3 linked regions of the Styela clava genome follow. The protein of the gene in region 3 binds, or shares a complex with, the protein of the main gene of each other region. Links are inferred from orthologs where the notes say so. Each region holds a gene or a part of one and is shown on either strand. Other genes may lie near its edges.

Region 1 (7,941 bases), on a different chromosome or scaffold from region 3:
CGTAATTTGCCCACCCCTGGGTAAGACTCACCACGTTGACCTGTAGGTAAAAATCTGGTTTCAAGTCCCATACCCACCAGCTTAGAGAGGGCATAATAAATTGGGTTGACAATGCTGCACCAGATAAACACAGGTCCATATGAAACAGTAGCATCGTACATATCTGTAGATACTTGTTCAGAGCTTAAGTCAGAGTGAATACATATATAACTGTTGTGTAAACAACCTCAACATATAACGCTGAAGACTTCACGACACAATGTTTAAAAAACAGTAAGTTAACAGTAAATTTATCAATCATCTTATATAAATTAAAAAGCAAGCATTTTATTACTTTTCGTATTGGGTGTAGCATAACTACGACATGTATTCAGGTTTTATTGGCAACTTTATTTTACTTACCTCAATATAATCGAGAGAATCCACTATTAAGTCTGACAGAGTTTTGAACTTTCTCAGCTGAATGTGAAAATAATATAAAATATTAACAATAGCAAGTCAATCCCAGACAAACCAAGGTCCAAGGCAACTGAAAATTCTCAGATACTGTGTTCTGTGTATATAACATACTTTCAACAGTGGCGATAGGTAGTAATAGCATATTTAATATTTATCCCACACGAGAGGGAAAGGCGATAAAGTTACTTTGGTGGGCCATAAAACTAACTTCAGACATCTAGCTGAGCCACATAAACAAATAAGTTTTTCTATGCACACAATGAATTGGAAAATTAGCTGCAACCAGAAAGCAAAGAGAATACGGCCATTGCTTAGCCTTCCAGTAATAAAGTCACCGGGCAAAACGGCGAAAGATTTAGGGCAGCGACAAGAGCAAATATCAATACACATATTTTTACCCATGTGAACGTCTTTTTAAACATGCACTGTGGGATTGGGATTTTATGCTTGATGAGTGGGGGGCGAATACACGGGCCACACCAACTGCTTGATGAGCTGGGTTCGGGCCTGCGGGCCACATGTTGCACACCCCTGGTTTAACTGCTCCTAAACCCATGTGGGTGGTGGAATTCAGTGTCAACAAATACCTCCCACCATATCATGCTGACCAATTGTGCACTTGGTAAAAAGATACAAAAACAAGAATTATACTTGAACAAACCTTCTTATAAACTCTGAACCATTGTTTCTTACAATCTTCAGCTGAGAAACGACCCATCTTTACTTTGTCCCATTCAAATTTTTCTAACATCGTTTTATATTTAGAAACATCTGGATTCGGAATAGCCTAAAATAAGAAACTTAATTGAAGATTCATGATTACAGCAAATTGGCATTGATATATATTAGTTGATAACTGAAAATGTGATGGATCTGTTCATGGCATCCAATGAATTTTATTAAACATATAAATAATAATTTTTCATTTATCAATAAAAAAATTGATCTACTATAATATCTCCTAATATACCTGCTTCATTTTATTTAAAAGTTCTTTTGTTGTGGCATCTGTCCATCCATCCTCACTCCCTGCAAAATTGTAAATATTAATGTCATTTCCATGAATTTTAAATTTCTGTAAGTTTTTATTGAAATACTTCAACATTCCTTCAAACTATGATTTAACAGTAGTTTAAAGATCACCTATTCATTTGTAATATTTTACTTTACAGATTACTTTGAAGTTTCAACATCCATCCTCATTTAAAAAGAGACATAATATTTGGATGGCGAAGTCAGGTAGGGGTTAGGATTGACATGTGCAAAAATTGTTATGCCGCGTCTACTAGAAGTACATGCGGTACGAAACTACACAAGACATGATTTGAGTTGATAACAATATGTTGATTTACCAATACAATTGTTTTTAGTTGCCCCTTTCATATTCAAATCAGAATATCAATCTGAAGTTCCCAATGTTGACAAATGCTCTAAAAAATAAAAACATTATTAGACACTTGCACTCATAGTTCTGAATTATTTAAAACAGTCAAATGGATAATTTGCATGAAAAATGAGCAACCAATTGGATTTGGAACGAACATGGTTAGCGTTATTTATACCATTGAGGTTATAGCATGTTACAAGAATACATGTGAAGTTTACAACAATGATTAAGATTGAAAAAGGATTATTTTGTACTTGGAAATTGGGATGCTTTAATGTGAAAGTTGATAAATTATATATTATACAGGGTGTCCAAAATATTTCGCCGGATTTTATAGTAACTGAGTAAAAACAATTAAGAATTTCACCGGATTTTATAGTAATAACAATTGTGAGTTAGAATTAAAAATTTTATTTTATGAAGTCAAAAACAAAAAAAATTAATTGCTATTACTATAAATTCGCGGGAAATTTTTCGGACACCATGTATTTTTCTAATAGGGTGGTCTCGCGCTTACCATGATTGAAATTTCGCGCTCTGATGGTTGAAATGAACTATGATGAAAATGCCTTCTTTCTCTGCGAAACGCGAGAGAAATATGGCGGACCTCGATTGCAAAGTTTACCTCGCTATCTCGTTTAACGAGACCACGAATTGACCAGTTCAGTTAGCAAGATGTTGTTCAAAATTTATCTCACAAGGGTACATTCATTGTAAAACACATACCAGTACCTTACTTTTAAAGTCGCGATGTCTGAGTAAACTTTATTAGTACTAATGCATGATGAAAACGCATCTTACCTTCAGTTTTTCGCCGATATCGTGCGTGTTTTTGCAGTTTTACGAGTCGCTGCAGTCTTCTGGTCTGGGTTGTCTTTTATATTTGATGTCGACAGAAGTACCGTGGCCTAGTTTATTGCTGTATTTCCGAATTCCAGTGGTCGTTTTTAATCGTCTGCTAATTTGATTCTGTGAGCTCAAACTATCGTGCGATCTGAACTGGTTGCACACGCCCTCCTCGTAATTCTGTACTAACGCTTTGAAACTGCAATACGCCACGCCAGACAGACGGGCTCACGCAAATCGATAGCGACGCCCAATCAGAACGCTCGATTTCAGGCCGCTTGTCTGTATTTTTCCCGGTGTATCTATCTCGGCATTTCGAGAGACATCAGCCGAAAAAAGCACTGCGAGTCGCCGAAAACATCGACTTTCTTCGGCGGCAGCGACTCTTGGAATTCAAAACAAAAGGGAGAATGTTGGAATTTTGAAATAAAGCGCAAAAGCTGCCTTTATAATCATAGTTTGAAGCCGTATTCATTTGAGTATTTCAAGTTGCAGATGTTTCAAGTCATAAATATGTGTTTTCCTCAAAGCAATTGTTACAAACCTGCAGTTTCGGCTTTTTGGGTTAACTGAAGCCCTCGGACTGTCTTCATTTTGTTAGGGTCTTGGGGGTCTGAACAGGTCGCACACAATTTCTGAAAATGAGTCTTCTTCAGCCTAGTAGGATACGTACCAGACATGGTATAGCCAACGATTATAATTTTTATCTGCCCACGTATAAACCATAATTAACATAATACTGAAACTGGCTTTGAACGCACTCGGAAGACTAAAAGCACCTACTTTGGGCTTTATGAATCAAACTAACGGTATAATGAGTAAAAGTAATATGGAGTGGCAAAATATGTAAGTATGCATAAAGTCCATGCATAATTTGATCATAGCTTCTAAGGTTAGGATTTACATATTTATCCCGGGGGAGAGGAAAGCCGCTAAGACGGCTCATCCATATGGCGAACCACGGCCTCTCGTCCGGTTACCATTCCAAGTCTGGTATGGGATTAGTTATATTGTTTGCTTTCGGAAGCATGGACTTAGTGGTGGAGGAAGCCGTAACCGACCAGCGGTTACGTAACGAAAATCCCAGGGACGTTTCTGCCACATAAACCATAGCAAAATATACCAGATGGTTAAACTTCAATTGAAGTTCTAGCACTAGCTGCAATTTATAAAATTGGAGGTCTGTGAAAAGTCGATGTTAGACAATATCTGATAGTTATCACGGACTGCAACCTAATTAATAAAAAGTACCTACCAAGCCAATAAGTAAATAGTCTTTCACATCATGAGCCCAAGAACATCAGTCACAAATCAAAACAAAATAGCATATAAAAAGCGAAAAAATCCATATCTTTATTGACCATTGAGTTGAAATAAAGCGGAAAACAGACAAATAAGAACATCATGCCAGCACCATCAAGTTTGGCCAAGAAAAAGAAGTAACACTTAAATGAAACCAGAAGTCACCAGAAAGTGCTCTTCAATGTTCTGAATATTTACGATAAAATTGTCACGACTACCAAAATTCACCAAGCCACAAGAATACCAGTGGAAATCATCCACATTTTTTTTATCACGTTTTCAAGAAATTAAAATTGCAACAATTTTTCAAATATTGTGTTGTCCATTTTACCATGTGTACCATTTTTGTCAGAGATCAGTGATCGGATCGAAAAAACAAACCGCATTTATTTGAATTATGGTAAGAGAAATTCCAACAAATATATAAATTACTTTATTTGATAATATCGTTCAAAAGAAATCCAACCCTATGACTGATTTTCCAATAAGCTGTGAATCATACCAAACTCTGTGGGTTTTGATAGAGAAGGCCTGACTTGAAATCCAGGAGGTGGCTGTGAAGGCACAAAACCTGAATTAGAAAATAAGCCAGGCATCCCAGGCCACGAGGGCATACCACTGTTTGTTGGGCGCTGTGAAAAAAGTTGGTTCATATTAGAGTTATTCGAAGGTGGGATAGGGTGGATTGGACTGTCGGGCTCAGTTAAAGCTTGCAGCGATTTCATCCAATGTGGCTGATCCTCGTTATTATTGTGCGAAGATTTGTTTTGTGGATTTTCAAATAGTCTATTACGCCTCATTGTGGGTCCGTAACCTGGCACGCCTCCTTGAATTATGGCAGGATCGGGTGGGTAGGATGGCATTGTACCACCAGGCATAGGATTAGATTCAGAGCGGTTTCCACCAGCAAATAAGGACTGCAAACTAGCAGGGCTAACAAGTCTGTTCGAGGACATTCCAGGTGTGGACATGGAAGATTCAGGGCCACCCCATTGCTGTCTTGATGGCATAAAAGAAGATGACCTGCCAGGAAAACCCACCCCAGGTGGGGGCATGATATTAGATTTGTTGAAAGGGGGATGGGGATTCATACCAGAGCTTGAAATCCCTGGTGGGTGAGGAATATTAATATGTTTGTTATGTTCTGCTGGCATACCTAAGCTGGATAAACCTAAAGAGGAATTATCGACAGGCCTTGAGTTAGGTCTCTGAATTTGTCCTTGAGTTGCAAAATTGATATTTACGCTCGGCAGCAAAGCCCTTAGTCCATTTTGCCAATCTGTAATATTTGCAGGATTTTTATTCATTTGATCTTTGTTCGGAGTAGGTGGGCCCCCATGGTTTATAAAACCCTGCTTTTGATAGTTCGCAGATCCCAAAAATTGTTCTTATCTGATGGATCGATTTGTTGGAAGGGATTGGAAACTTTTTGTTGTTGATTGTATCGATTTTGCTCGAACTGACGTTGTTGTAAATTATCGTATTGGAAAGGCATTTTGTGCTGTTGAGAATGCTGGGATGTTCCATGCATCATAAGATTGGAAAATCCATTAATGAGATCATTCCCGCCAGGAAATCCAGCCTATAAAATGAATAAAACAAAAATGTATATCAAGCTTCAAATATGCTTCTAGATCGAAAAACGAGATTCGAAAAAAAAAAAAACATTTTACCTGATGTACACCCGAATGGTTGGGATTATGTAAAGATGTTGGTCTTCTTTGTGTTGCAGATATATCGGAAAACGTTGGGTTTGAATTAAATGGAAAGGTATTGGTTGAATATGGAATCTATAAACAAGAAAACAACTTTAGTTTATTAGATTTAAATTGACGAAAATGAACTTTTTTATGGTTAGTCCATGGGTGGCCAAAAACGAATGATCTTCTATTCTAAATACATTCTGAAATAGTATGTAATTAGTAAAATGTATCAAATATAAATTTAAAAAATTTATACTTACTTATTTATACTCATTTATACTGTGAAATATTCGTTGCTAAAAATGATCATTTTTCGAATTTTAACTAGGATATATTATTCAGAATATCAAAAATTTTAAATATTGAACATAATTTCAATTCTATTTTTCGATTCATTCCGATTTTTTCAATTCGATTTCATTCGTCTTTGGAGTTTGCACAAGGTTATAGACACACAACCACGTAGTAGGAAGTTAAAAGAATGTTCTTGATACTGATTCTTATTTTCAGTATGATGTTGTGTTATTCAGTAATTTGTCGAGTGCCTATAATTTTTCAATTAGTTTAATGCCTCATTTGCTACTGGGCTAAAATAGGCAAAAATTAGTAATTCTGAAAAATTGCTGCTCTAAGAATCCGATCAGCAGTTCTTTCCAATTTGCCAAATATGAGCATAAATCATAATTTTTTTTGAAAAGTGGATCATTAATTGAAAAATTTAAAATCTAAATTATAAATCTAAATCATAAAAATACAAATCCAAGTTCTTGCACATTTCTTCTTACATTGTTAATATGAACAGCTCCAGTCTCTTGCGTCTTTTCTTTTTCCATCAAATCAGCCAACCCTTTGCTACATTCAACCCATGGATCGAATCCTAGATCGTCATCTGCTGATGGAAGAACTTCTTTTGCAGATGATTTGAATCCAAATATTGCTTCCCAATCATTTGTACTTTTAATAGGCATGCTGTCTGTAATATACAAATGAGAAGTTCTAAAAATGTGTAAGTATTTGGAATGGGACATGATCAGGGTCACCCAAATAAAACAGTAAGTACAAGGTCATTTGGAACATATTCTAGAGCAGGAGTGGGCAATTTCTTTTTTGAGTGGGCCAGGTACCGATGATAGACTTGGTTACTGGGCTAGAAGCTCTAAACTCAATACAAAAAACTATGAATAAAAAAAGAGCTTATTTACAACAACCAGTCCATCAGCTAAGCTGACGTAATGACGCTCATATAACAATAAGAAGCACAATGTAACAATCGGGATCATCATGACTTTATTTTTATCAATATTTTCAACGGAAATTTATATCCATAAAAACTATTGTCATAATTTCAGCAGACCGGATGAAACACTTCGATGGACCGTAATCAACCAACCCCTGTTTTAGAGAGAACATAACTTTTGTGCGAAACATCATCAACTGCTGAAACTTTTGGGCACAATCATACATCATCAGAAAAGTATTAAAAATTTCTTCATTTTCATAAATTGATGGGTTTTTTTTTTTGGGTCACCCTGTAGTGGATACAAGAGATTTTGTTGCAAAAAAGGTCAGCTGCTATTTTTAGGTTGAAAAAAATCTTGAATCCAATTCTGCAAGCCTCAATCAAACAGACAGCTGACCTGAAAGTTGTTCAGTGAGAGCCCATCAAGGGCAATAGGCAACTGCCGAATAACATCACGATTGGTTATTTGGTCTACCTCTTATTATCCAATTTTCTTTCTAATTAACAGGGCGACCTTCCGCACAAGTATTTCTCATATTGCCAAATAGGGAAGTTTTTCAAACTCATTATCATTACTCACTCTTTATTTCAAACTCATTTTTGTCTTGCTTATCAAAGTCATCATTTCCTCCCACTTTCAATAATTTCAAAGCATTGTGATGAAACAGTCACAAGTATATAGACAATAGACAAAAACGAAGATCTGATAAAACTAGCACTTACCTGATAGGTTGTGGGGGTTACTTGATGGCCAACCCCTCAAATTATTAGCAGGCTGAATTCCAGCTAACCCTGGTGGTGGAGGTGGTATATTGCGTGATGTTGGTTGTGCCGCTGGTAACCTGAATTGAGATAAAGAAGCATTTGTGCTAAACGAACAATGCATTGTTTTCAAAAGAATCTATAAATATTGGAAGTTCTGAAAGTTGGCATGTAATATGTATATGTATGAAATAAGACTGGAGGCAAAATAGCTGAGCAAAAGTGATACAGATTTGTATCCA
Region 2 (6,088 bases), on a different chromosome or scaffold from region 3:
AATATCTTATAAATTAACTTATCCCTAGGCTATATGTGTGCATCTTGATAGATAGATTTTATTTCGATTCATTCGCAAAAACAAAATAAACTTATATATATACATATACACACGGCTGTCCTATTATATTGGTTCCCCTTATTTTCAGGATAAATCAAATATGAATATCTTTCTTTTTCTCAAAAATTTATTCGCTGCTTGATTTAGTGACCGTATGGTCCTTCCAACCTCCTATCAATTCCGTTGTTAGTCGATTTATTCTTCTTTTACTTATTGAATGTTGTTGTTTGTGTTTGATTTGTTGGCTAATGACTGGGTGATGAATAAACTTCTATCTATCCATCTATCTGCTCATTCATTGTCGCTAAGTTGTTTCTGCGATTGCATTCTCGCAAATGTTTGTTTTGCATAACGCCAGTCGCAAAAATATAAGTATAGGGTTAGTATTCGCGCAAGAGTCCGTTTTCGTCTGGACCTTTTTATTTGGTGTGGGAGGAGGCTAGTTACTGAGTTACCGTATGGTGTCGGTACGGGTGCAGCCGGTATATTTAAAATTATCAAAATCTTTTTATTTAGTTGTATACCGTACCGGTACAGTTCTTCAGTACGTGACACACTTTATATATTCAGATTGTAATTACGGTACCGGTATTTTATAAAGGTCAGGCGATTGCCGTTGTTAAATTGAATACCGTACCGGTACCGGTATTGATTTCTAAACAGTGAGCAGCGAAGAAAAAATAATAAGTTTCCCGTATTAAAAAAATATGGCCAAGCTGGTTTTGTATGAAGTCTCCGATTACAGGATTAGTCTACCACATTTTGTGCTTTCAATTGCCGGACTCTGAGAGGTTCTGGTGCTGAGGTAAACGTGGATATATGTAATTTAGTAATCTGTGAGCGTTTAGGATGCCTTAACTTACCGTATAACACTGTCAGAACGCCAGCCCACACTCGTGTGACGCTAGCCCACACTCGTAGGATGCCAGCCCACACTCGTGTGACGCTAGCCCACACTCGTGAGACGCTAGCCCACACTCGTTTTTGACAGGCCATACTAGGGGTAACTGGTCCGTGCTTGGTATTGCATTTGCGCTGTGTATATCCAATATGGTCTCTATATTGTCATAGCCACCAAGTTTTTATGTATTAACGTTTATAAAGTGGTAAAATAGTTGGTTGACCCATTGACGTCAGGCTGAGTGTGGGCTGAGCGAGTGTGGGCTGGGGTAACTTTGGTACCGAAACTGCTTGAATAATCCCAAACAGAATGTGATGTGAAATTTTTTTTTTAAAGTCTGTCTAGGACGGAAATGAAATACTTGACAGATGCGTTTCTGCGTTTAGTTAAAATAAAATCCACTCGATTTTCAACTAAGCCAGTACAGCAGTATATTCCATATCATATACCAGTAGGGTATGGGCAGACTATGTCGTACTGTAAACTGAAATAGAGTACCATATACCAGTAGCGTTCTGACTCAACTTCTGTCCGAGACTACTTTTATTATAAAAAAATAATAAATATTGGACTTTATTTTTTTTACATCATGTTTTTTTTTTTGGTTGGCATTATTTAAAAACTTGCTCCGTGTACTTCGTTAGACTCCACGTGCCCCACACCACATATTTTTATCCCCATTGTTTATAGCGCAATAGTTCTGTACTTGGTATTCAAGAATTTTTCTCTGTCAGATTAAATTCATCCAGCAGTACGGTGCTTATAACTTTTAACATATTGCAGTATTCTGGTATAGAGAGATCAATAGTACTGAACTAGTTTCAATTACTTATTCATGTATTGGGTGGTGAAAAAATCTGATTAACTCATTCTTTACCACCCAGTCATTAATAAAAGATTTTATTTTGAATCACTCATTTGGTCTATTATTTATGTTTTGTGTTTCTGGTTAGTGGTTTAAAGAATAATTAAGTTGTTTATCTCTCACAATAGGTGTATACCTTATGTGTGAAAGGATTATTAAGAAATCCTCCTTTCATAATTATTCAATATACAACTGTTCAGATCATTACTTGTACTAAACTATACTATTACAGTATTAGTGATTTCCTTCATTTAGTGTGAACCACAGTCTGACAATGGAACCTATTAATGGATATCCTAATACTATATTATCTGAGAATGATACTGATAAATCATTAGAAGCATTAAAAAAGTTCAATGCAAAGAATAGTGGCGCTTTCATTTTTGGCAAAAATGACATGCAAGAAAGAAAACTATTTGTCTCACATTTATTGGATATTTTAAAGTCTTCTCTGGATGGTGAAAGCACCTCAGAATCTGAATATGTGGTGGAAAGCCTTTCTGCTCTAGTCGTAATGTCTAGAGATCATATGTCAATGAATGGAAGATTTTTGAATCGAGAAACATGGAAGATATTGACAGTGATTGCTGGATTACTGGATAAAAATGGGAAGGCAATGACGGTCATCGAAACGTCTAAGATACTGTTTACACTTGCTAGTAAATGTCTATGCAATATCATGTTCATTTCAAAAGATTCGCAAGGTTATTGTTGCGACGATGAACTTATAAAAGGCATTTTGCAACGTTTGAAATCTCTGGATCCCAAAGATGAATCAAATGATACTGAAGTTGAATTTTTAACACTTCGATTGCTGTTTCTCGTTTCTGTGCTCAATGTGCAAGCAAGAACAAAGATTATTGAAAACCACGAGGGTAGCCGAGTCTTGTTGGATTATTTGAATTCGAAATTGACATCATCAAAAAGAGTTGTTAAACCTACGCCATGTATCAGAGCTAGTATTTCTCCTGCACATGCAAAATCCTGTTGTGAAATATTAAGAACACTGTTCAATTTGAATCTGAAATATCGGCATGAAGAAAGTCAAGTAAAGGAAGAAAGAATTACTATTGAATTTGAAGATTTGACATCAGTTTGTCGTAAATTGTATTTGGTTCAAGCAGGTGATGACAAAGTTTTGACGGAGAAATTACATGGTGACGCAGGAAATTGTTTATACACTGTGCCCAGGTCTTGTTTACTTGATGATACGATAATTCCTTTAATTGACAAGTATGACCCTGATGATGTGTTTTCATACAATGGCGAAGACATCCCGCAATGGGAGGAAAGAGATCTCAGTGCTGTTTTGAATATTTTAAAAGAAGTTGAATTGAAGATTCACAATAAGTCATTGACAACTGAAAGCTTGCAACCTGTTCTTTCACTGCTGAGCCACATCAGTCGTACATCAAGATATGTCAGAAAATATTGCAAGAATTACGTTATCCCACCACGTAAGGATTTTGAGCATCGTCCTGAAGTTGGACCAGAATTTCGTAATAAATTGATAAAGCTTTTCACACATGCTAACACAGAAGTAAAAGCGGCTGCTGCTGATTTTGTATTTGTCTTGTGCAGAGAGAAGGTGGAGAGACTTGTTAAATACACTGGTTATGGAAATGCTGCGGGATTGCTTGCAAGCAGGGGGTTACTCGCAGGAGGCCAGGGAGACACTGTTTATTCTGATTGTGATTCTGACTCTGACACAGAAGAATATTTAGAAAATGCAGAGAAAATTAACCCCATTACTGGTCACATTCCACCTAATATTCCCAATCCGATGGAAGGTATGTCGGAAGAACAGAAAGAATATCTTGCTGTTCAATTAGCAAATCAGATTTCGAAATTGTCAAGTGATGATATTATCAAACCTGTATGTATCGATCCAGATACTGGTAATCTGGTTCCTTTTCAACAAAAAGTCCACAATATGCAATTACCAGAAGAGAAAGATTCTGATGAAGACATTGATTGAAGATTACAGATTGACATAATATAAGCTTTTGCAGCAAATTTTCTGAACTCATCTTCCTTTAAATAACTAACAAAATATTGCGATAGGAATGGAAGTTCATTATTTGAGAATAATTTGTCTTTATTATTATATCCTGGGTAAAACTTATGTTGTGTGAAATGCAAAACTAACCTCGAATAAAATTTTGGACACTATCTTTTGAGGCTGATATGCCAACCATTGGCACCTTGGAGGCATTCCTGTATCTTAGTCCAGCTTTAACTGTGATAGTTTTGAAGCAAATTGCTATATTTGTAAAAACATATTTCAAGTCTGTACATTTTTTAATGCATATATGTAATTGTGCCCGTCTGTTGCCCGTTTTCTCTTTTGTAATTCTATGTTTAATGAAATTTTATGCTGCATTCACCAAGTTATTTGTTTTGAGGGAATCATGTCTGTTTTAGTAATCGTTTCTTATGAATTTAGTTTTATTATTTGAATAAAAAAATTTTCTCTGACAGTTGTTTCAAAATAATATTCATGTCATTTCTTGCAATATATTAAGTCAATTAATGCGTCACGTATGCTACCAACTTTCCTAGAAAAATGCTTTTTAAGCTATATGGAGTACTAGAATTCTGTGTAGTGCATCGAGTATTTGCATTTTGTTGCGATATTAGATTAAGAACTAAATTCTGACATATCTTACACAATGTTAATTTCTGTATATTAGCCAGCTTCTGCAAAATACAATCATGATATGTATAAGTTGGCAAGATTTTTTGCTATATTTTGTATACAGTTATAACCTATTCTTTTGTAAGGTGTTGTTTGATCATTCGTTTTTGCCTAGTAGAGATTATTGTCCATGGGAGTCATTAAGTTTTTTTTTTTTTTTATGTTTATGTGTTGTATCATTGTTTGAAGTTTCAAATTACTCATTTTACAAATTGCTCAATAGAACAACATGGACAAAGATTACAGTCAAGCTCGCCATCAGTTAAAAAAATAACTTATCGAAGGATGATATTTCACTTTATGGGGTTATTTAAATGTGCAGTCTTTTCGAAATGGCTATATTGTGATGTTATGACTTATTTTCATTATATTCAATATATTCAGATGTTTTGCTGTTTTTCATCAATATTTTCTACATTTATGTATATATAGCTTCCACATGTTCTTCATGTAACGTATCTTTTTTGTATTTTTGTGATATTATAGCAGGATGGAAAAAGTTAATAAAAAAGTACAGCTAGAATTTCAAAGTCACGTTTCTGAATTGCAAAAAAATCAAAAAGCTATTGGCAAGTGTGTGAAACTACGACAACAGCTTGAAGCTCAACTTACAGAGAATACTCTCGTACAAAAAGAGTTGGATATTCTTGAAAGTGATGCCACTGTTTATAAGCTTACAGGTCCTGTATTGGTGAAGCAGGATTTGAATGAAGCAAAAGCGAATGTGAAAAAACGAGTTGATTATATTACAGAGGAATTTAAAAGACAAGAGAAAACAATTGAGGATTTGGAAAAGAAACAAGAGACAACAAGACAAGCATTAATGAAAATTCAAGCTTCGCTTCCAAAGCCAACTGGAAAACAAGTAGCATAGTAAACAGGATAATTTTAAAACTGAAATAAATTTGTAGTGAAATATATCCAATTTGGCTTACAACCACATTTTTTTTTTCAATTATAAATTTTTTGTGTTTGCTGCTAGAAATCTTCAAATTCAATCTATTTGAAGAATGAGGCTGGAAGAATACAGCACAATCTTTGACTTTATCAATTACCACAAATCTAATTGTCCAAGAACAGTTCTCTCTAATGTTATTTCAAACTTTGGGTCTCAATATCAATATCATACACTAATGAGTATATTTTTGACCTGTTTGCAACGAAAAGTGAAAATGACGTACCACTCAAAAATGAAAGAAGAGAAATTGAAATATTATTACAAATTATATAAAGAACGAATGAATATCTCACATCAAATGAATCATAAACAAAATGTAGTGAAAAGTAACAAATTACCCGCACAAAATATAGAACAAACCTCAAGTGAAATTGCAAAATTGTGCAATGGAAAAGAAGCGGTTTCGAATGGCACTGACAGTGGTTCTTCTGATGTAAATGGCAAATCTGTATTGATTGGTATTGCAAATGATTTCGAAATTCCACCTTGTTTAATGGCAAGAATTATTGTAGAGCAATACCTCATTGAAGAAAAAGCTTCTGCTAACAACAAAGAAAATTTTGCTACGGGAACAGTGATTGGTAACAGAAAAAATCAAAATGTTAC
Region 3 (7,982 bases):
TGTTTAACAATAGCCACCTCTTACGCAAATCTACCTCCCAAATAACCCACTTACGGTGGGATTCACCTCTAAATGTCAAAAAATAATGCCATAATGTATTTCATTTTATTGTGCGGAATACTCAAATTTTGGTTATCCTGGAATAAGCGCCCTTCACTTTTATGCTCTACCTTTCATGACCCTTTGTTGAAATGTTTACTTCATTCTGAGAACATATGATTGCCAAAGGAGTTTTTTCCCAAACATCAACATTACTTCCAAACTCCCCATTGAGTTAGTCTTCTCAATACTACAATGTGACTGCTATAATTGATATCTGCATCATTGCACCAATCTATATGTTACGTATCTTCCGGCAGTTTCACTTGGTCGCACAATTTTAACTACTTGTCCACGCTTCAATCCAAAATACCTAGCCACAGGATCACCACCCTGAATTCTAGGTAGTTGATGGTCTTTCAATTTATACCTAGCAAGAAGCTCCGCTTTTTCTTCAGGATTCAAAACGACATGCTCAGGAACAAGCTGTAAGAGAAGCATCCATATTATTAAAGGGAATGAAATATCACAACACGATTCGTTACAGACATATTCTAGCTAGAGTCTCTGATCACGTTATTGTCCCTGCCAGGTATCTTTAACTTGCCGGTTATAACCATGCCCAACTTGGAAGGGTAACGAAACACGAAAACTACACGACTATGGAGCTGCACTGGCATTCCTTCTCTCATGAGATAGCATTGACAAATTTTTCAGACATTGAAAACATATTTTCTGTCTGTCGCAAAATATTTCAACTTCTCCGCTTATATAAAAAAATGGGAATTTCCAATCAAGAAAATCTTAATTCCTCTTTTCAAATTACTTTCAGCTGATATGTGGCTTTCTAAAAAACAATTTCTTTGTAGCAAGTTCTCGATAATTCAGTTTCGAGGTTTTAGTATACCAACAACAACAATATTCAAATCCTAAATTACCAGTGTTGAATAGAACAGGATCAAGTCAGTAAAAATTTACTTGTGTCTCTAGCTCAATGATCCTGATGAATGAAAATCGTGAAGCGGTTATAAAAATAATGATTGCTAAATTGTCTACTTAATCCAAAATGGAAGGCGCTACGTTATAAACTACAATGGACACTGTCGCACCAACATCTGAAATTTAATGAATTGTGTGTTGTTGTTTCTATTTGGCTTCATTATGCTGGCAAAGCAATGAAATCTATCAATGCTACGATAGAAAACTAACATACTTGAAACCATTATATGATTAAACATATTCATGTGAGCTTTCTTTGCTGAAACGTAAGACACTCAAAAGCAGAAGACAACACACAGAAATAAATTTTGTGCAACAATAATTTTAATAGAATTCCAAGTAGCTAGCATCTTATATTATCAACAAAATATGCTGATCAGATACATTTGTTGCATTGTAACAATAAAATAACTCACCTCATGCTCAGTTATATTAATCAGCAGCTCTTGCTCAAGGAATTGTTCAAGAATATACTTAGGGGCCATATCAACCAGAGATTGTTTGGCAGACGGCGTCATTCCAGACTGAACAACTATGACTGCTCTTTGAATATTTTCTTCTTGCATTCTTTGACAATACATCTTGATATTTTTTATACCAACTTTAGGTTCCTCTGTGAACAGGAGAGCATATTAGAAAGCTTAATGACAAATCACCTATCACGCTACAGACCTTTTCAGTCACAAGACTGATTGAGGGTATGATTTTGTCTCACACTCATCTCGGGAGCTGTTTAAAAATAATAATTTGCAAATACACATAGATTTATGGGACATTTGGGCATACTTATGGGTCGTTGCTGGTATATGCCGCTATGGTGGAGAATAAATATATATAAATTCACACGTATTTGTATATAACTATTTTTAAGCAACTCACAAGGCATCTGAAAACCAGAACTCAAACTGTCTCATGCCCCCTAGTAGTAAGTAAAGTCTGTGGTTATATGGTACAAAACGTCTGTGAATGATATAATGATATGTAATCATACCTGGAAAAAATACAAACATCTGATCTGTAGGATCATCATTATGTGCAACAAGAACAGTCAACTCTTGTCTAGCTGGGTGCCTTTCACTTGGTTTGTCGCCAAATTCTTCTTTAAATTCTTCCAATGTTTGATCCAGTTCATGTTGAGTTACCAGGTATCCCCTATCATGACACAGCTAGAAACACAGCAGTTTGCGTCAAATTAAAAGGTTACTTTTACTTATACCCAGACTTTATTTGTTAACATTACTAGCAAATGAAGAATGAGCAAAATGAATATAAGAGATACAGAGCTTGAAAAGACGTAACATTTGTTGGGACTCGATGAAATAGACAAAATGTGCACAGTTTTTTTTCTCATACTGTCATACTCAATCAACAAATAATAATGCATGCATGTATTTGCCTAACTCTGTCCTGACTATGATTCACGAATCCCATATATCAGCGACTATTCATGCTCAAGTACTCAAACAATTTATCTTTTCAACAGTATTCAATATTATATTAAGAATGTTACAAACATATACTATGTGCAGGGTGTCTCAAGTCAAAAGTAAGTATACAGTTTTAATTTTGATTTGCTTTTCAGGTACTCATCATAGAGCGTTCATTTCTTCAGAAAACAGAGTATAGATAAGTAGTAAAATTTAGATATTGTTTGCATCTTCATCAACCTGTCAACCCACAGAATGACAATGAGGGATGTTGAAAAATGCAAACGATACCCAAGTTTTACTACTTATTCATACTACAGTACTACAGTACTATATTTCTGATATCTGGATATATGTATACCGTACCATATTATATCTTATCTACCTGCATCACTGTTTTTCGAATTCTCCATAGCCTGTATGTTTCCGATTCATCATCCATTACACAAGATGTTCAAAGTTACAATAGTCAGATAGTACCTTGAAGTAATATAGCAAGTAGGGTACCTTAGAGGCTGTTTGATAATAATTCTGGTATTGAAGTTAAAGTGTTAACTTACAGACTTAGGTTACTTTTTATGAAATGGCATATAAAGTCTGCAAAAACAGAAGCAGTAAGGTTATTGCCGGTACGGTAACTTCATGACATACGGTACCGGTATAGGATTTACAGAAATAGGATTTACATATTTTTCCGATGAGAGGAAATGCGATACGACTCAAATCATATGTTGAACCAAGGCCTCTCGTCCGGTTACCAGTCCATGCCAAGAACACTGCTGTACTGGAATAGGTTTAGTGTTTAGTCAGCCAGTTATTCAAGTTCTTATGCACAAACTTGATGGCGGAGGAAGCCGTAACTGACCAGCGGTTACCGTACGTGAATCACCTCACAGCCCTTTGCCCTACGACAGCGAGGAGTCCAGCAATCTAGAACCTTCGAATACCATACCGGTAGGCTGCAACGGCCGGCACCAACTTGCCTAATGTTCTGTGTATTCTGATGGCTCAGAAAAAAGCATCAAAACAATATTTTATGAAACCGATATTTTCTATTCCATGTCTGGATGCAAAATTAACATGAGCAAATGCCAAGCTTTGTACCTGGGGGGAAACAATCATTGCCAAAATTGTCCTATGAAAGATCGAGGACTTGAGTGGAACTCAAAAGATTTTAAATTGTTGGGTATTTTTATATTTGAAAATGATGCTGACCTTTATACTGTGAATATTTTGCCAAAACTCCAGTATAGGGCAACAAAGATTCGACCCTATCTGCGTGTCTACACTCCCGTGTTATTGAACACACGTTAACAGAGTGTAACTCCGATCTTGACTCCTTCAGAGGTCAAAAAGCACACAATGTATTGAATGCCAATTGTTATATTGTAAAGTTGCACAATCGAATTGATCCAAATAACGAATTACACTTGAAACCTTAAAGCAAGTATATGTGATGAAACCAAATTTCTAACTAACAAAGAACGGCAAAGACAAGCTACACTGAGCGAGAAAAATATATCATAAAGGAAATGAATTGGGACAACGACCTTGTTTCAGGCAAATAACATGCACTGCTAACAATAAGTGGTGAAAATATTACAATACACAGTAACTATTCTTATGTACTTGCTACACCAGAAAATGAAAATGATTGCACAATTATGGTCAAGAAGAAATCTTGATTTCCTTGAAAAAATTACGGTAATCAAACCCCTTATGTTGAGTACACTAGTATATGTATTATCCACCTTACCAATGAGACTTCCCAATAGTTTGTTCTATGGAAATGTATATCCATTTGGAATATTTATTAAAAACATTAAGTCGAGATGTTTAAGAGATACTCTGGGATGGGTTAATATGATAGATATTGAATCATTTTTTATTGGTCTTAAATTAAGATGGGTTAAATTTTTAGTAAATGATGAATTTGATGCTTCGTGGAAATCTATAGAATTTTTTTTTCTAAATTTATATGGAGGAATGAATTTGTTCTATGGAAATGTATATCCATTTGGAATATTTATTAAAAACATTAAGTCGAGATGTTTAAGAGATACTCTATGCTATTGGCATATTTTCAAATCTAAAGTTGTTACTGATGTAAGTCACTTGCATGAACCACTGTGGTTCAATAAAAAGATATCAAGTAAAGGGAAAATGTCATATATTGAAGATTGGAATAGAAAGGGTATTTGTTTCATTGAAGATATCTGTGATTCTAAACACCAAATTGCAATGTTTCCAATCATTTTTCATCATTATTGCTTTTCTGATTTTTATAATGACATGCAATCATATTTAAAAGTTTTATCATGTATACCCCAAGCATGGAAAAACATTTTAGTAAAAACCCCTCAAGCCAATCCACATCTTAGTCTATTGGAAGATATTAGAAGCATCAATAAAACTTCCAGATACATATATGATAAGCTTCGTAATGTAAAAATCTTGATGCCTAAGGAGAAAATAGAAAAATGGTCAAATGAACTGTGCAGAACTTGGATAATTGGTTGACGCAGTATGAAAAAGTTTTTAATTGCACTATTGAATCGAGACTTCGATCCTTCCATGTTAAACTTGCTTTGCGAGCAGTACCTACAAATGACCTATTATTTAGGATAAATAAGACATCAAGTCCGAAATGTACATTTTGTGAAAGGAATGTTGAAACCATGTTTCATTTATTTTATTTCTGTGAATTTGTGCAACAATTTTGGAAAATAGTTAATGCACGGCTAACTGTTGAATATGGTTTAAATCTTAATCTGACATATAGAGAAATTTTAATGGGGGTAGAGCAAAACCAAGGTATAAACTGTGTTTTATTGAGTGCACGATATTATATCTATAAATGTAAACTACGTAATGAAAGGCCTCAATTTGATCAATTTTTATATATGATAAAAAGTATATTTAACTGTGAAAAAATTATTGCAACTAGAAAATGTAAACTGTTGAACCACATTAAGAAGTGGAAAGTTATCATGAACTCATTTTTGGACACGTAGTGGACATAACGATCGTTTCAATATTATGTTGTTGTTGTTCTTGTTCTTGTTGTTGTTCTTGTTCTTTGACACGTTTTTAAAAAGTCGCTTTTCTCTTCGAATACTGGACCAATTGCTTTGAAATTTTCAGTGGTTGAAGATTAATTTTTTCGCTAGAAGGCTATTACTTTTGTTTATTCTTAAATTTTATATGAATCCTATGAGATATGATATTTCATACAAAATTTCGCGGTATTTATTTTTACTCATGGGAACACTGTTTTGCACTTATTTCAAGCGGTTTCGCGATCGATTGTCTTGCTCAGTACTACAGCTACTGTAGGTCGGTACTGGTAAGTTGCCATACCGGTGCCGTAACGCAGTGAAATTGACTTATTCCTTCCGCGGTATTACTAATGCTGCAATGCAAGTTTTATAGCCTATCGTATGCGGAACGGAATATCAGACCTACAGGTTCGGTACTGGTACTGGTGCCGGTACCGGTGTCTTACCACAATGAAATTACCGTAACTTATTCTTTCACGGTCCTACCAGTGCAGTAATGCAAGCGTTGTAGCACTTGTAGCCTACTATATTTGTTTATTTTGATGAGATTCTACTGGAAACAACATAAAATTTGAAAGAGAAGAATTGTTCTGTGATCAATTATCTGTCCTAAAGTGTAAATAACATAAAATTTGCAAGGGAACAACTGTTCTGTGATCAATTACCGTATATGGCCTACAGTGTACAGGTAAGATGCTGGCTGACTGCTAACCGGTACTGGTAGCTCAGTACGTAAGTACGATACTGGTACTGGTGCCGGTACCGGTGTCTTACCACAATGAAATTACCGTAACTTATTCTTTCACGGTCCTACCAGTGCAGTAATGCAAGCGTTGTAGCACTTGTAGCCTACTATATTTGTTTATTTTGATGAGAGTCTACTGGAAACAACATAAAATTTGAAAGGGAAGAATTGTTCTGTGATCAATTATCTGTCCTAAAGTGTAAACAACATAAAATTTGCAAGGGAACAACTGTTCTGTGATCAATTACCGTATATGGCCTACAGTGTACAGGTAAGATGCTGCCTGACTGCTAACTCAGTACCGCTTGACACGTTTTTAAAAAGTCGCTTTTCTCTTCGAATACTGGACCAATTGCTTTGAAATTTTTAGTGGTTAAAGATAAAAATTTTCTCCAGAAGGCTATTACTTCTTTTTTCGCTATGACGTCATCAAAATTATGTGACTCTACGTGTCCATATATTTGAGCATAGCTCTCTTGTTTTAAAGTGCAATTGTGTTTATGTGTTATATCGTGTGGATAAAAAGTGATGTTTTTAATAATAATAATAAAAAAAAAAAAACTTGCCTAATGTTAAACACATGGGCTTTGGTTAAACCATTGAGGTGTTATATACACCTCAATGGGTTAAACAAATTCGTGGACGCCATCTTGTGCCATATTTCCCAAACGCGAAACAATGCAGTCTTATGGGAAATTTTCGTCGTGTTGTTGTACCGAAGTCCGCTGTTATAAGGACTAGAAAGAAACTGAAGGGTGGATTTTGAACTTTGAGATATATGCTATCTGAATATATAACGCAATTAAGAATAAAAAACAATCTAATGCGTTAAATATGACCCCAAACACAGCGTAGAACCATTTTTGGTTCTTTTTTATAAAGATTTTACAGTGATACGCTAATCTGAGGCAGTAAAATGTCTCTGCAACAATCCTACAATATCATTTGTTCTTCTAGCGCAGCTTGGAGCCGAGCAGTAAGGCATTATTGAGCTTGACAGACGAAAAATGTTAACCAGAAAATAGAAACGGCCATTGGAGCACGAATAAATACAACTTTACATCTGTGACGTCATAAGGAACGCCATTGTCAAATGGGTAATTATGACGATTAGAATGGCCAATCCTACTTCGGAAGCAACTGGAACCGGTATACTTGTCTTCAAGGACAATTTAATGTACTATAAATGTAATTTGGCCAACATGACAAGATATAAACATGTTCGGCTAAGATTCTACTTCAAAACGCGACCTTCAAAATTTTTCTACTTAAAATATTAGTAAAAATAATAGGTATGTTTCAATATTTGTGTTGGAACTTCTCATAGGGCGCTGTGTTAAATTGCCGAGAACAATAGGCACAAGATGGCGTCCATTGTCTGAGCGTTGCCTAGCTTATATTATATATACGCTTTGGTAGGCGGTAATCAGAGGTGCTAAAAGGCAGGGTTGCCATATTGGCTTTTTTAACGCCAAATTTGCCATTTTTGGCTTTTTTCAAACGCGTTTGGCGTCAGAATTTCCGTTTGGCTTTTTGGCGTTTTTCAAGTCTATTCTAGTGTCTATTATTAAAATCATATGAAATACAATATTTCAGTATTTAGTGTGTAACAATTGAACAATAGCCTATTACTGTGTTACCTGTACTTAGCTACTTAACATTAGGATTTCCTGGAGCATCGATTTCCTTGTTTGTTACATTAACTCTTACCCA

What was found. Proteins that work in one complex are often made in the same cells at the same time.
Region 1: DNA-directed RNA polymerases I, II, and III subunit RPABC1 (region 3) and nucleolar transcription factor 1-like share a complex: the UniProt entries of both Homo sapiens proteins name them as parts of the pol I pre-initiation complex. The link is inferred for Styela clava from reciprocal best matches to the Homo sapiens genes POLR2E and UBTF.
Region 2: DNA-directed RNA polymerases I, II, and III subunit RPABC1 (region 3) and uncharacterized protein LOC144421013 share a complex: the UniProt entries of both Homo sapiens proteins name them as parts of the PAQosome complex. The link is inferred for Styela clava from reciprocal best matches to the Homo sapiens genes POLR2E and PFDN6.

Annotation. Positions count from the first base shown.
Region 1 is NC_135255.1:6,649,203-6,657,143, forward strand, and holds the start of nucleolar transcription factor 1-like, read right to left. Parts: upstream 3,052-7,941; 5' UTR 2,648-3,051; intron 1,890-2,647; 5' UTR 1,843-1,889; coding exon 1,812-1,842; intron 1,489-1,811; coding exon 1,430-1,488; intron 1,247-1,429; coding exon 1,121-1,246; intron 460-1,120; coding exon 403-459; intron 1-402. UniProt on the Homo sapiens protein: Recognizes the ribosomal RNA gene promoter and activates transcription mediated by RNA polymerase I (Pol I) through cooperative interactions with the transcription factor SL1/TIF-IB complex.
Region 2 is NC_135252.1:15,383,276-15,389,363, reverse strand, and holds uncharacterized protein LOC144421013, read left to right. Parts: upstream 1-5,009; 5' UTR 5,010-5,014; coding exon 5,015-5,398; 3' UTR 5,399-5,534; downstream 5,535-6,088. Other genes in the region: chaperone Ric-8A-like, read left to right, coding at 2,101-3,804; uncharacterized protein LOC120343245, read left to right, coding at 5,535-6,088. UniProt on the Homo sapiens protein: Binds specifically to cytosolic chaperonin (c-CPN) and transfers target proteins to it. Binds to nascent polypeptide chain and promotes folding in an environment in which there are many competing pathways for nonnative proteins.
Region 3 is NC_135259.1:2,953,313-2,961,294, reverse strand, and holds DNA-directed RNA polymerases I, II, and III subunit RPABC1, read right to left. Parts: upstream 3,079-7,982; 5' UTR 2,908-3,078; coding exon 2,851-2,907; intron 2,205-2,850; coding exon 2,030-2,204; intron 1,652-2,029; coding exon 1,455-1,651; intron 526-1,454; coding exon 322-525; 3' UTR 92-321; downstream 1-91. UniProt on the Homo sapiens protein: DNA-dependent RNA polymerase catalyzes the transcription of DNA into RNA using the four ribonucleoside triphosphates as substrates.